Saccharomyces cerevisiae S288C: one gene and its partners. The gene in region 1 interacts genetically with each later gene. Each region holds a gene or a part of one and is shown on either strand. Other genes may lie near its edges.

Region 1 (3,531 bases):
AAGAGCTCTGTCCACCATGACAGTTTGACCTCTGTTATTAGAAGTATCAATGCCATGTTGGGAGTCACATTTGGGATCAGGAAAATACAGTGGAACTCCTCTTTGCAGGCGGCAGGGGCATGGGGGCTTCTGAATATTATACTGTGGTTGTTTTTTGACGGCTCAATATCCATGTTAATGAGCTGCATCTGCATTGGGGTGGGTTGTTGTATCTCTTGCTACAAAGATATTATCGACGGTTCCCAATTTTTATATTTCATGGATTTTTATTTCCTTGGTTCTCTAATGTTTGGAAAACTAGGAAGATATCTATATTCTCATTAAAGTCGAAATTCTGACGAGTAAATATTATTAATTAGAAGTACAAGAAGATAACATCAGAATGGCTTATCGTTTATATATAACTAATTAACGTAAACACAGTCAGCCATATGGCTGTAACACTTGACATTTCGAGAAATCACATAATAAGCGTTAAATATAAGAGACCCTTCTCTTTCCCTAAAAAAATATAAAAAAGTACAGGTTGTCTATTTATCTAATGGGTGATTCAGTATACAAACTGGACGACGAAGAGCTGTGGTTCCCCACTGGCGTTGAACTTGTACTACCACCTCCAATAGTACCGTTATTAGACGATGGTGGTCCACTCGATATACTTCCCTCCTTTTGTATCAACGTCGCATTATCTACTACACCAGCGGTTGAGGCAGTTGACGGACAAGTGCTTATCCTTCTTTTTATTATATCTTCTCGTAGTTTGCTGGGATTTGTTAATGGCAGGTTATTCTTTCCATAGTTTATTGGATCATTGTTTTGAATGCCAGCTTTCTGCAAAGCGTAATCACCACTGTCGAAATATTTTCTTTTCTGCATGGTATGCTTAAAAATATCTTTCTTTGATGGCAGCTTTCCGTACATTTTGTATAGCTTCATTTCGTTGGGCGAGAATTTGCTGGTATCAATAGTTCCGCTTTCGCCGTTATTCAGTTTAGTTAAATCTGGGTTACTACTATTGGGAGATAAGTTTTCATTCGACATAGCGGCGAGTTAGATATTCAGGTCCCTTTCTTTCGATAAAAATACCCACTTTAATGAGAAGCATTTGATGGTTAATGGACTTTTTTACGTTCTAGTTGTGATGAGGCCAAGCTATCCAGCCAAAGGGGGCTCAGGCTTCCATACTAAAATTTCAGCAAAAGATCGTTCAATACGTGTGGTGCCCGGGTAACAACAAGCCCTGCTACTAATAGCACCATAACGATTAATGTTGGGTAAATATCCACGGGGATACCTAGCCGAGTGGTGATTAATGAGACTTGTATTGGAACCATGGCATGCTCACTAGGATACGAGTCAGACAAGACCTGGAAAGTCACTAGTATTCTCGCGTAGTCTGACTTAGTTCCCTGAAATTCAGTGAAACGTGGTATTGTGATAGTTTGGAGATTATTAATGGAAATTGGATGTATTGCTGACCAACACACTTTAATCTGATATGTTTCGTCTCGCTGTAAGTCCGCCAGTTCAATATACGTAGTATTATGCAACTCCAAGTCAGTGGTATTGGCCTCGATAGTGATCTGACTCATTGCTTCTCCCGATAGTGATATGGAAGATATCAAGTTTACATCTCTTGCATAAGTAGAGCTGTCTCTTGGTTTTTTGAGGGGAAAGTTGTGAGGAACCTTATATAAGATTGATTCTGTATTAGCGTGTACAAATCCGATGAAAAATACAATTGTAGCGATAAACCAGTGAACATTCTGAGGCCGGACCATCTTCTTTTTAAAAATTGAACGAACCTATGTTGGCTTAGTGTGTGCGAATACCAAGGGTCAACAACATTGCTGTGCAGTTAATCTTCATATTCATGTAAACTTCTCATTTTTTCATTGCATATTAGTTTCCGTCATTGATGATCTTTTATAACAATAGTGAGAGGAAACAACTCCCTCTACCTTCAAATAGGGTCGATTCGGGAATATGATTAAAGAGACACCGAATCAAACGCATACATCCTCACAAGCATTTAGTGAGAAAAAATGGCGAGGCCTCAAAATCATCGCCGCAGTAATTGGACAGAAAGAGACGATAATGATGATTATCTGTTTCAGCGATTTCTAGAAGAATCGGAAACGAGGCATAGTAGAGAGCCTTCACCTGTAACCGAGCAATCTCAGCAAGAACTACAGCAGGATGTACAGCAAGCAATCGATGGAATATTTAACTCCCTTAGGAGGAATATGAGTTCTACTTCAAATATAAATAGAGCAGCTAATATGGATGCAACCACAAACGGAAATGGAGGAATCAATGCAGACACTATAAGAGCCACCAACGCCAATACGGCCGATTCCCCATTCACAGCAAGGCAGCAGAGCCCTCTCAGAACTTTTCTTAGAAATTTATTCATTTTAGATTACTTTATTGGGCTAATTTTATTCCCATTTTCCGTATACAACATATTAAGGAGCGGGTTCAATTCAATGACCTTTTCAGAGAATGATTTTATAATCGAAATCGTGGGATACTGGAAATTTGCCAAGATATTTGGTTCTGGTGGCACGACATTAATAGCATATAAGGATACTGGTAAATTAGGGTTGCTTGGAAAGTTTCATAACATCATTGTATTTTACTCTTCACCTGTGATAAAACATATTATGAAAAGTAGAGATGGCAATGAACCCAACTTAAATTGGATAAGACTAATGTTCGCTAAAGCTTTCGAGCTATTTGTCAAAGTCTCTACCATTCTGATCTATTTAGCTTATGGCGTAAGTGGTACCGTTTACATGGTTACCGCTGGGTTTTTCTTCGTATTGTGTCTATTATTCACTGTTATTAGAAGATATAAAGGTGTCCATCGAATGTTGGTGAGCCAAAGGATTACAGGGCCAGGCGTATTCTGATGATGAATCCACGATTATAATTTGTGTATTTGCTTATCTGTAGTAGTTTCTTTCGCATGTGGTCGCTGTATGAGACACTTGACACCAGAGGACGTTTATTTTGAAGCAACTCCTCTATGTAAGAGCTGTTTGCAAGCTTTCCGTACTGTGACACTTGACCATCATAACGTATATTAACGAACTACTAGGGTTGTTGTGGGCTTCTTTCAAAATGGGAATTGTTAAAAACTATTGATAAACGCCACTCACTACATGCATTGATTGTAAGATTTAACTATCCTTTTTACCTGATGTCTCGAAAATAAGCGTTTACAACAACTACTATTTTGCCGTTCTAGTTTAAAACATGGACGCTATAAAACACTAAATATATCAGAAGATTTCACTTAGACACAAAAGAAGGGGGTGAGATCCCTTATCTGTAGTAAAATGTATACAAATTATACGGACATTGTTTCTTTATTGTATCCATGTATACATGTGGGGTCTTGACACTTACAGGTAGTGAATGCTAGACCTTCGAGACTTAAGGTGAGCAATGTTTTAAAACTTTTCTTTTTTTCCCACTTCAGTGGAGTGTCACCCCGGGAAGATATTCACCTATGGTCAATGTAGC
Region 2 (3,761 bases), on another chromosome or scaffold:
TTTTATAGTAGTAGTGTGAAAATTTCTTCAGGACTTGCAAAAAGAATCTAACTGATCTTCGGATGAGCCTTTATCGATTATTTTTTTCCTAAATATAATACTTTACAAGCGAATGTTTTGTTAGGAGAAAGATATAAAAATTATGCGGCATAGGCATATTATCCAATAAAAAGGAAATTTATATATAAACTTCATTTACGTCATAAGAAAATGTTAAGTTCTCTTAACGAAAACTGTGCGAATTTTGTGTTAAAGCTGGATGATGAGAAATTATTCTCGTATTATTTTTCATCAGATACTGATAAGGTTTCAACGTCTTTTGACGTTGGCTTTTCCACACCATGTTTAGAGTTATAAAGCACAATACCGTTCTTCTTGGCATTGTTCCTTTCATCACGTTTATAGAAGTAGAGTACAACAAAAGTCCAAATGGAGAGACAAAAAGCAGAACATGCAGTGAAAGTAAACCCCTTTAAATACCTGGGAGCTTCTTCTGTTTTCCAAACCAAAACACTTATCCATGCGGTAGATGATTGAGCCATAATATTCATTGTAACTAAAGTAATAGCTCTAGTTTGAGCATCTCGGCGACAAATATCGTTTTGCCAAGAGTATAAAACAGGAGCCATAGCCCAACCAAAACATTGCAGCATAAATGCAAACCATTTGGCTCCTTCTGCGACGTCCCAAGCGGCTAATATGGAGTTACCAATGATATTGAAAACCTGAGTAAAAATAATCGCAAACCAACGAGAGTGTAATTTATCTGCAATAATACCAGTAAGCATCAAATAAACCATACCTAAACCCGGAGTAATCATGGATAACTGATTGAGCTTAGGAATAGAGTATCTTTTCAAAGATTTCAACCATAGTAGGTATGCCCCAGATGAAACATTACTGTCATTCCAACAGAAAATATTCCATAAAGTTAAAATGTATATTTTCCAATCACTGAAAATTGTTTTCCACAGTTTAATATCGAATACTTTTGTTTCAAAATCACTTTTACCTGTTTGGTTTTCTTTTAATCTTTTCCTCGCCAACCTAATTTCATCATCAGTTAAGAAAATAGAATAACAGTTGTATGGGTCACCTGGCAGGGAGTAAAATCCAATAAGGCCCACTACGACAGACACAATAGCGTCAATAATAAAGTTCCATCTCCATCCCTCTAAACCATTTACACCATTTAACGATGAATATACGGCTGACTGGATCCCACCAGCGGATAGAATACCGATATACTGGCCCAAATAGTAAAAAGCAGAACGACGCACCATTTCATCATGTTTGTAAAAGGAACCAAACAAATATTGGTATGCCAAATAACTTGGCGCTTCAAAAGCCCCAATGAAAAACCTAATTGCTTTCAAGTGTGGTACAGAATTGACATATGCAGCACCAACGGTTAAAAGCGACCAACATAAGTCGAGGCTTGGTAAAACATAGTTTAATGGGAGCTTGTTCAGGTAAATCAAAAATGGCAATTGAAATATAATATTACCAACTGTGTACATTACTTGAGTATGCACCAAATCATTACCTTGAAAGCCTAAATCTTCCTTCATTCCCGAAACGTAAGCGTTGTTTATATTAACCGTATCCAGATATTTCACCCAATAAGCAATACAAGAATAAAAGGCTAAAAGGACATCCAATTTAATTAATAATTTTTTTTCTTTGAAAGAGGTACCCTGTTTGAACCAACTATACCATTTATTGTGAGATCTTTCCTTTTCATTGATCCGATACTCTTGTTCATCGAAAAATCTCCACCATGGCCTATCGGCTTCATCTCTATATTCATAACTTCTAGTAACGTTCACATTGTCTTTATGTTCACTATAGCTACTAGTCTCAAAATGTAGTTGATCTTTTTCACTTGTAGTCGTGATGAAATTTTCAGCTGTTTCATGACTCTGGATACTGTTGGAGATAGTGACAATTTCTGTTGAATTTAAGTCATCTGGCAGGTCTTCCACCTGCCGCTTTACTGGAATAAAACCCCATTTTAGTCTTTTGTAAGGATCTACAATAATCTCTTTAACAATTGAATACATGTATGTTATTTATATATGCAGTAGTTCTCTTTGTAATTTTTTTTAACAAATAGAGAGTAAGATATGTAGCGAATGTCCATTCATCATAACAGGTAAACTAGATGCTCTTTTATATAGTCTGGTTGTATAAATAATTTATATCCTCATCTAAACGCATGTCTCCGCTTGGTTTCTTATCTATTTGTGGAGGCACCCGTAGTACTGTGCTTTCGTATTTTTTTATTTATTTATTATTTGTAGCAGTTTTTTTCCAGTGACACAATCTTTACCATTACACAGTTTTTACTATTTCTAATGATTACATTGGACCATCGGAAAACTGCGCTAACTTTGGATAACGCCACAGAACGTGATCTGACTATTGTAAAGGTGTCATTCGGTAAGGTAAACCTTCAAGGCGTCCACACCTTTAACCATATAACAGCGTAAACTCTTGTTAAAATACAGGGGTAAGACATTGGTGGATATTCAACAAGATCCGATACCTCCAATTCCGATTTCTACAAATTGTGCTCTACATATTACTGCGATGCAATTATCCACACATAAAATCGATGCCTTTAGAAAAAGACATAAAGCAGACGGCATTGTAGATATTTGACCAATTAGAATTGAATGAGATGAATATCTCACCAAGCTATTCGATATTATAGATAAAGTTTGTATCTTAGTTATGCATTGTGAGTTGGTTGCTCTACTCGCGGTTACCAGTCTCTTCTAAAAAATCTAAGGCCAATGGTATCCATGACATTTCTGCACTTTTTGTAATTGGTTTAGTTATGAAAGGAACGTCAAACCAAATGGTTTTTCAGATAAGAAATTGACAGTATCTGAGAATTTGCTATCAAAGCTCAGAGGATTTACATATTTTAACGTAATTAAAACATTTTTATGTTCGATATATTAGCAAATAGCGTATTAATATACAGCTGTTGCGCTCATGGTAAAATTTAGCGATATACTTTGCATCTTGGCTGCAAAGAAGAATGAATCGGATATACTATTTTTGATCATAATGACGGACATCATGATATAATAACGTTATACGGATAACTTTATTTCAAAAGCACCATCATGTTATCTCTTGTAAAAAGAAGTATTCTTCATTCAATACCAATTACTCGTCACATTCTTCCAATCCAATTAATATTGGTTAAAATGAACCATGTGCAAATCAGAAACATAAAATTATATCACTTTATTTCATATGGTTTCATGCTTACAAAGCTTACTGTCTTTCTCTTTAACTTATTTTTCTACAGGCTACGAATTCTTTGCAGGCTTACTTTACTCATATTATCATTACCTGTACAAATATATATTAAAGAAATCCAAACAAAAATGCTTGAAAAGCATACAGCTTCCGATACATCATGTATATAGAAAATCACAGTACAAAAATTTTGAATTTATGTATAACCGTTTCGCCTGATATATGTAAGAGCTCTTGATTGTCGGAATAGTTCGGGAATTCTGGGTGGAACTAGTAGCTGGAGATGCGTTCTAAAGGATCTAAAATCAGACTCACCCCAAAAACCAAAATTTTGATATTCAACTTTAGTATTAGCCAGTCTTAAAATGATTTTTTGCCAAGAAAGCCGAAGTTTAACGAGCGTTTTAAAATATGCACAAGTCCATTAATTAAATTTGATCACAGTGATTACCAATTTTGTTGAAAGCAGTAATTTGTGACGTCCG
Region 3 (3,761 bases), on another chromosome or scaffold:
CTCAGGACTTTGATTTCTGCATGCTTCACGATCTGCGCATACTCCTCGATGGTTTTAGATTTGTTATTTTCTGCAATTTGCTTAGCAATTATTTCTTGCGTGTTTCTCCTTGAAATGGAAGAGATTCGTTTCTCTTGGCTTGTTTTCTGTTTTTTCGTACTGCTTGGAATTGAGGGGAAGGTATTGGTACGTTTGGCAGCAGTAGGAGGATTATTGTTTAAGGTTTCCTCTGACTTGAAAGAAAGTGGGTAAGCAGATGAATTCGATCTATTCAGGCTGATAGACGCTGGATACACTGAGTATGTGGCAGGTTGCCGTTGTGTTGCGGGTTGTGCAGGAGGCTGTGTAGGGGTAGGAGATGGTTTATGGGAGCCGGGACCACTACCGATAAGTGGCGGTAATATTGGATTTGGCGTCTCCGGGCGGGGGGAACTTTGGTGTAGCAGGCTGTATATTGACGATGATTTGCTCGCTATGGGCGGGATATTCACTGACATGGGGGGCAAATAAGTGTGTGATGCTGGCGGTGGTTGGCTGCTGTACTTGGGTGCGTTTAAACTGTACCGATTACTGTTTACCGAAGATCCGTTACTTGGACCGTTGCTATTGTCGTTCGAGCCCCGACTAGTAGGTTCAATGTTATTATCACCGGACATGGGCAAATAAAATTCAAAATAATGAACAGACAAAAAACTAGGCGAGAAGATGAAGTACTTGGCAGGTATTTTTCTAGTGAAAAGGTTTTCTGTTGGTTTGCGTTCTTTGAAGATTACCATTTACTGCTATTTTTTTTTTCAACTTTTTCCCAAATCGCCATGACAACACGAAACGACAGGAGAAAAATTACGAAATCAAAAACAGGTTCAACTGTTGCAGCAATAGACACCACAAACGTGCGCAAGAAACCGCAACGAAGGGGAGGTGACCGTGCTTGAAATAAAATCCGAAGATCCATAGGTGAGCCACGAGTTTGATTCCAAACTCGTGGTTTTACCAACGAAGCTGTATATCGTGGAGTGGCGCTACCATTGGACCTTCGTTTCTTCTTTCCCTCTTCCGCACCGTACCAGATAGGAAAAACCGCACCTTCGTTTTTGCATACCTAGATGGTCCTGTAACAAGAATAGAGCTAAAGAAACAAGTATGCGTCGACTGCTGCCACGCCCGGCTGATTTAGGTGCACATCAGCTACCCAGCATACAAAGGGGCTTCCGTACGGTTGATGGTTATTTTTCTTGGTGTGTTGGTGCTGCTGTATCGCTGGTGCTGTCTGCGTTATTACGACTATCGTAGGACAAGGCCTCGAGAGGTGTAGGGTAAATCCCACTTGCACAAAGTATGTACACACTTGATTATCCAAATACCAAGAGAGTGTGGTTCAATTTACGGGCAGCTCGAGCTGCCCGTAAATTGAACCTTCCCCTTCCCCACGCTCAAGGGGTTCCTGCGCCGGTGTTTCAGGGGCAGGACACGCGGGGATCGCTGGCACAGTATATAAACAATAAAAGAACAATGGAGAGAGGAGGCGCCATTCAATATCAGCTCACTAGAGTGCATAGACGTATAGACACAGGAATAAAGATAGAAATAGGGTACCATGGAGCTGCCTTCAATAAATAGCACCACAAGTATATCCGACAACCAGGAGTTAAGGAATTACTATGACAAGTTGCTGTTCAAGAACAATAGTGGCAAGTCGCTAGCGGATTTGCCAGGAAAAATGGCAGATTTTAACGACAACAGCGCTGCTGCGCATCCCCGCTCCAGAGTTGACTTTATCAACGGTTACATCGGTTTCAGAGAGGATAAGCAGTCTCTTCTGGGGCAGAAGAACACTAAAAGGGCCTCGTTCAGCGCATTTGCGGACGAAGGAAGGAAACAGAGCGAGATGAGCATTAACGGGAAGAGCCCTAATTTGTCTCTTTTCTCATTTGAGTTTAACGGCACCCCGACTCAGGACAGAAAGCCATACAAACAGGATTACTTGAATGTGATGAACACTTCGCCTAACAATATTCTTTCTCCCTTAAACAACAGCTCCCAAAAATACTATCCACAGAAACAGCAGCAGCAGCAGCAGCAGCAGCAGCAGCAACAGCAACAAAGCATCTTTGACCCGGGAAGAAGATCTTCCTATATTTCTGATGCGCTGATTCATGGCAATGCGGCTACCCAGCAACCACAATACTCGCAACCTGTATATATTAACAACAACCCATCTTTGCAAGTACCATACACTGCTCCTTCCGAGTATACTCAGCAGCAACAGTACTCGTCACCCTTCAATGCTAGGCGCAACACCCAGCCAGTGCTGAACTTGCATCCGGCAGCCGCTCCCACAAACGATGCCGGATTGGCGGTTGTCGACGGCAAGAATTTGACGTCATCCAAGGAGCTGCATGACTTATATCTTGACTGCGGGTCAAACTATTTTGCTAGTGATAAAGTTTATAAATTTATTGACAGCATAAAGGGAACTTTACGCGGGGATAATGTCTCCGCCTCCAGTTCCAGGATTATAGAGTTTTTGGATTTTTTGAAAAATTGTAATCTGAATTACAACCCACAGTCTGACGCATTCATCTCCACTGCTGTTTCAAACGCTTCGTCGACCGGGGCGGCCAAATCCAAGAACAGCACTTCAATGCATTTGCACTATAAGCCATTAGTGTTAGTATCGTTGAAAAATGGTAAGCTCGAACTGTTGTCTAAACCACAAACGGCCACACTTATACTGAAAAGGGGCGATTTGGTCATTATTGATGGTGATCGTGGTAAAGATTTAGTTTTGGTGGTGGAACCGGTTGTAGATATAAATTTGGCACTATTTATAAATTTTTTGAAGAAAAAAATTCACTTTGATTCTCTAATCACCAATAGTCAACAGCATTTCCCCAATGACCAGTTTATCAAGACTCTGGTTGATACAACCAATGGTAAGCCGGTCGCTCATGAGTTGAATCCGAAGTTATATGATATCATTGAACTAACGCAATTGATCATCCCATCAAAGCAGGTTCTGAGATTTGCCACCCCGTGGGAATCCTCCACGAATTTACACAACAAATTCCAGGATGAGCTAAAGGCTCTTCACATTGCACAGCTAAAACTGAGGTCGCTAAATAACAATAACTCCGGTGGCGGGTTGAACATCAAAATATTGAATGCAGAGTTCCAATTCGACAGAAAGAAATTGACTTTCTACTACATTTGCCAGGAGCGTAATGATTTCAGAGACCTGATCAAAGAACTCTTTAAGTTTTACAAAACAAGAATTTGGCTTTGTGCTATACCGAACAATTTATCGATAGATTCCAAATTTTATGATTCAAACAAGTTTGAGTGGGAGATGTATCAGGATATGATGTCCCACTATTCCATGGACAACACTGGAATTGTCGTGGCCCCTGAACTGAATCGCTTGAAACTGGACGACTTCCAGATCGGTGTTTATATGGAATTGGTGAAGGTTTTGTTCGGCTAACCCAAACTTATATAATCATTATAAACATTTTATAAACTTATACACTTTTTTAATAATCTCACCATGTTTTTCTTATGTGTTTTGTTTGACAATGACATTACTCCCTACAAACATGTGCGCGTTTGTGACAAAAACATAAATAAAACAAAAATAATAAAAAGTCAAGTGAAAAGCACTGAAATCTAAAAAATAAATACATATACATATATATATATATATACCTATTTCGTTTCCGCATAGAAGAAATTGGAGGCAACTAGTTGCAGGTTGTTTTCCT

Evidence for each region.
Region 2: mutations in ASI2 (region 1) and SEO1 together harm fitness more than expected from each alone (negative genetic interaction), as found in Saccharomyces cerevisiae (one large-scale study listed by BioGRID).
Region 3: mutations in ASI2 (region 1) and YLR177W together harm fitness more than expected from each alone (negative genetic interaction), as found in Saccharomyces cerevisiae (one large-scale study listed by BioGRID).

What each region holds. Positions count from the first base shown.
Region 1 is NC_001146.8:337,862-341,392, reverse strand, and holds ASI2 (Asi2p), read left to right. Parts: upstream 1-2,045; coding exon 2,046-2,915; downstream 2,916-3,531. Other genes in the region: NSG2 (Nsg2p), read left to right, coding at 1-324; IGO1 (phosphatase regulator), read right to left, coding at 535-1,041; PGA1 (Pga1p), read right to left, coding at 1,185-1,781.
Region 2 is NC_001133.9:6,954-10,714, forward strand, and holds SEO1 (putative permease SEO1), read right to left. Parts: upstream 2,064-3,761; coding exon 282-2,063; downstream 1-281.
Region 3 is NC_001144.5:509,457-513,217, forward strand, and holds YLR177W (uncharacterized protein), read left to right. Parts: upstream 1-1,597; coding exon 1,598-3,484; downstream 3,485-3,761. Other genes in the region: RFX1 (Rfx1p), read right to left, coding at 1-776; TFS1 (Tfs1p), read right to left, coding at 3,706-3,761.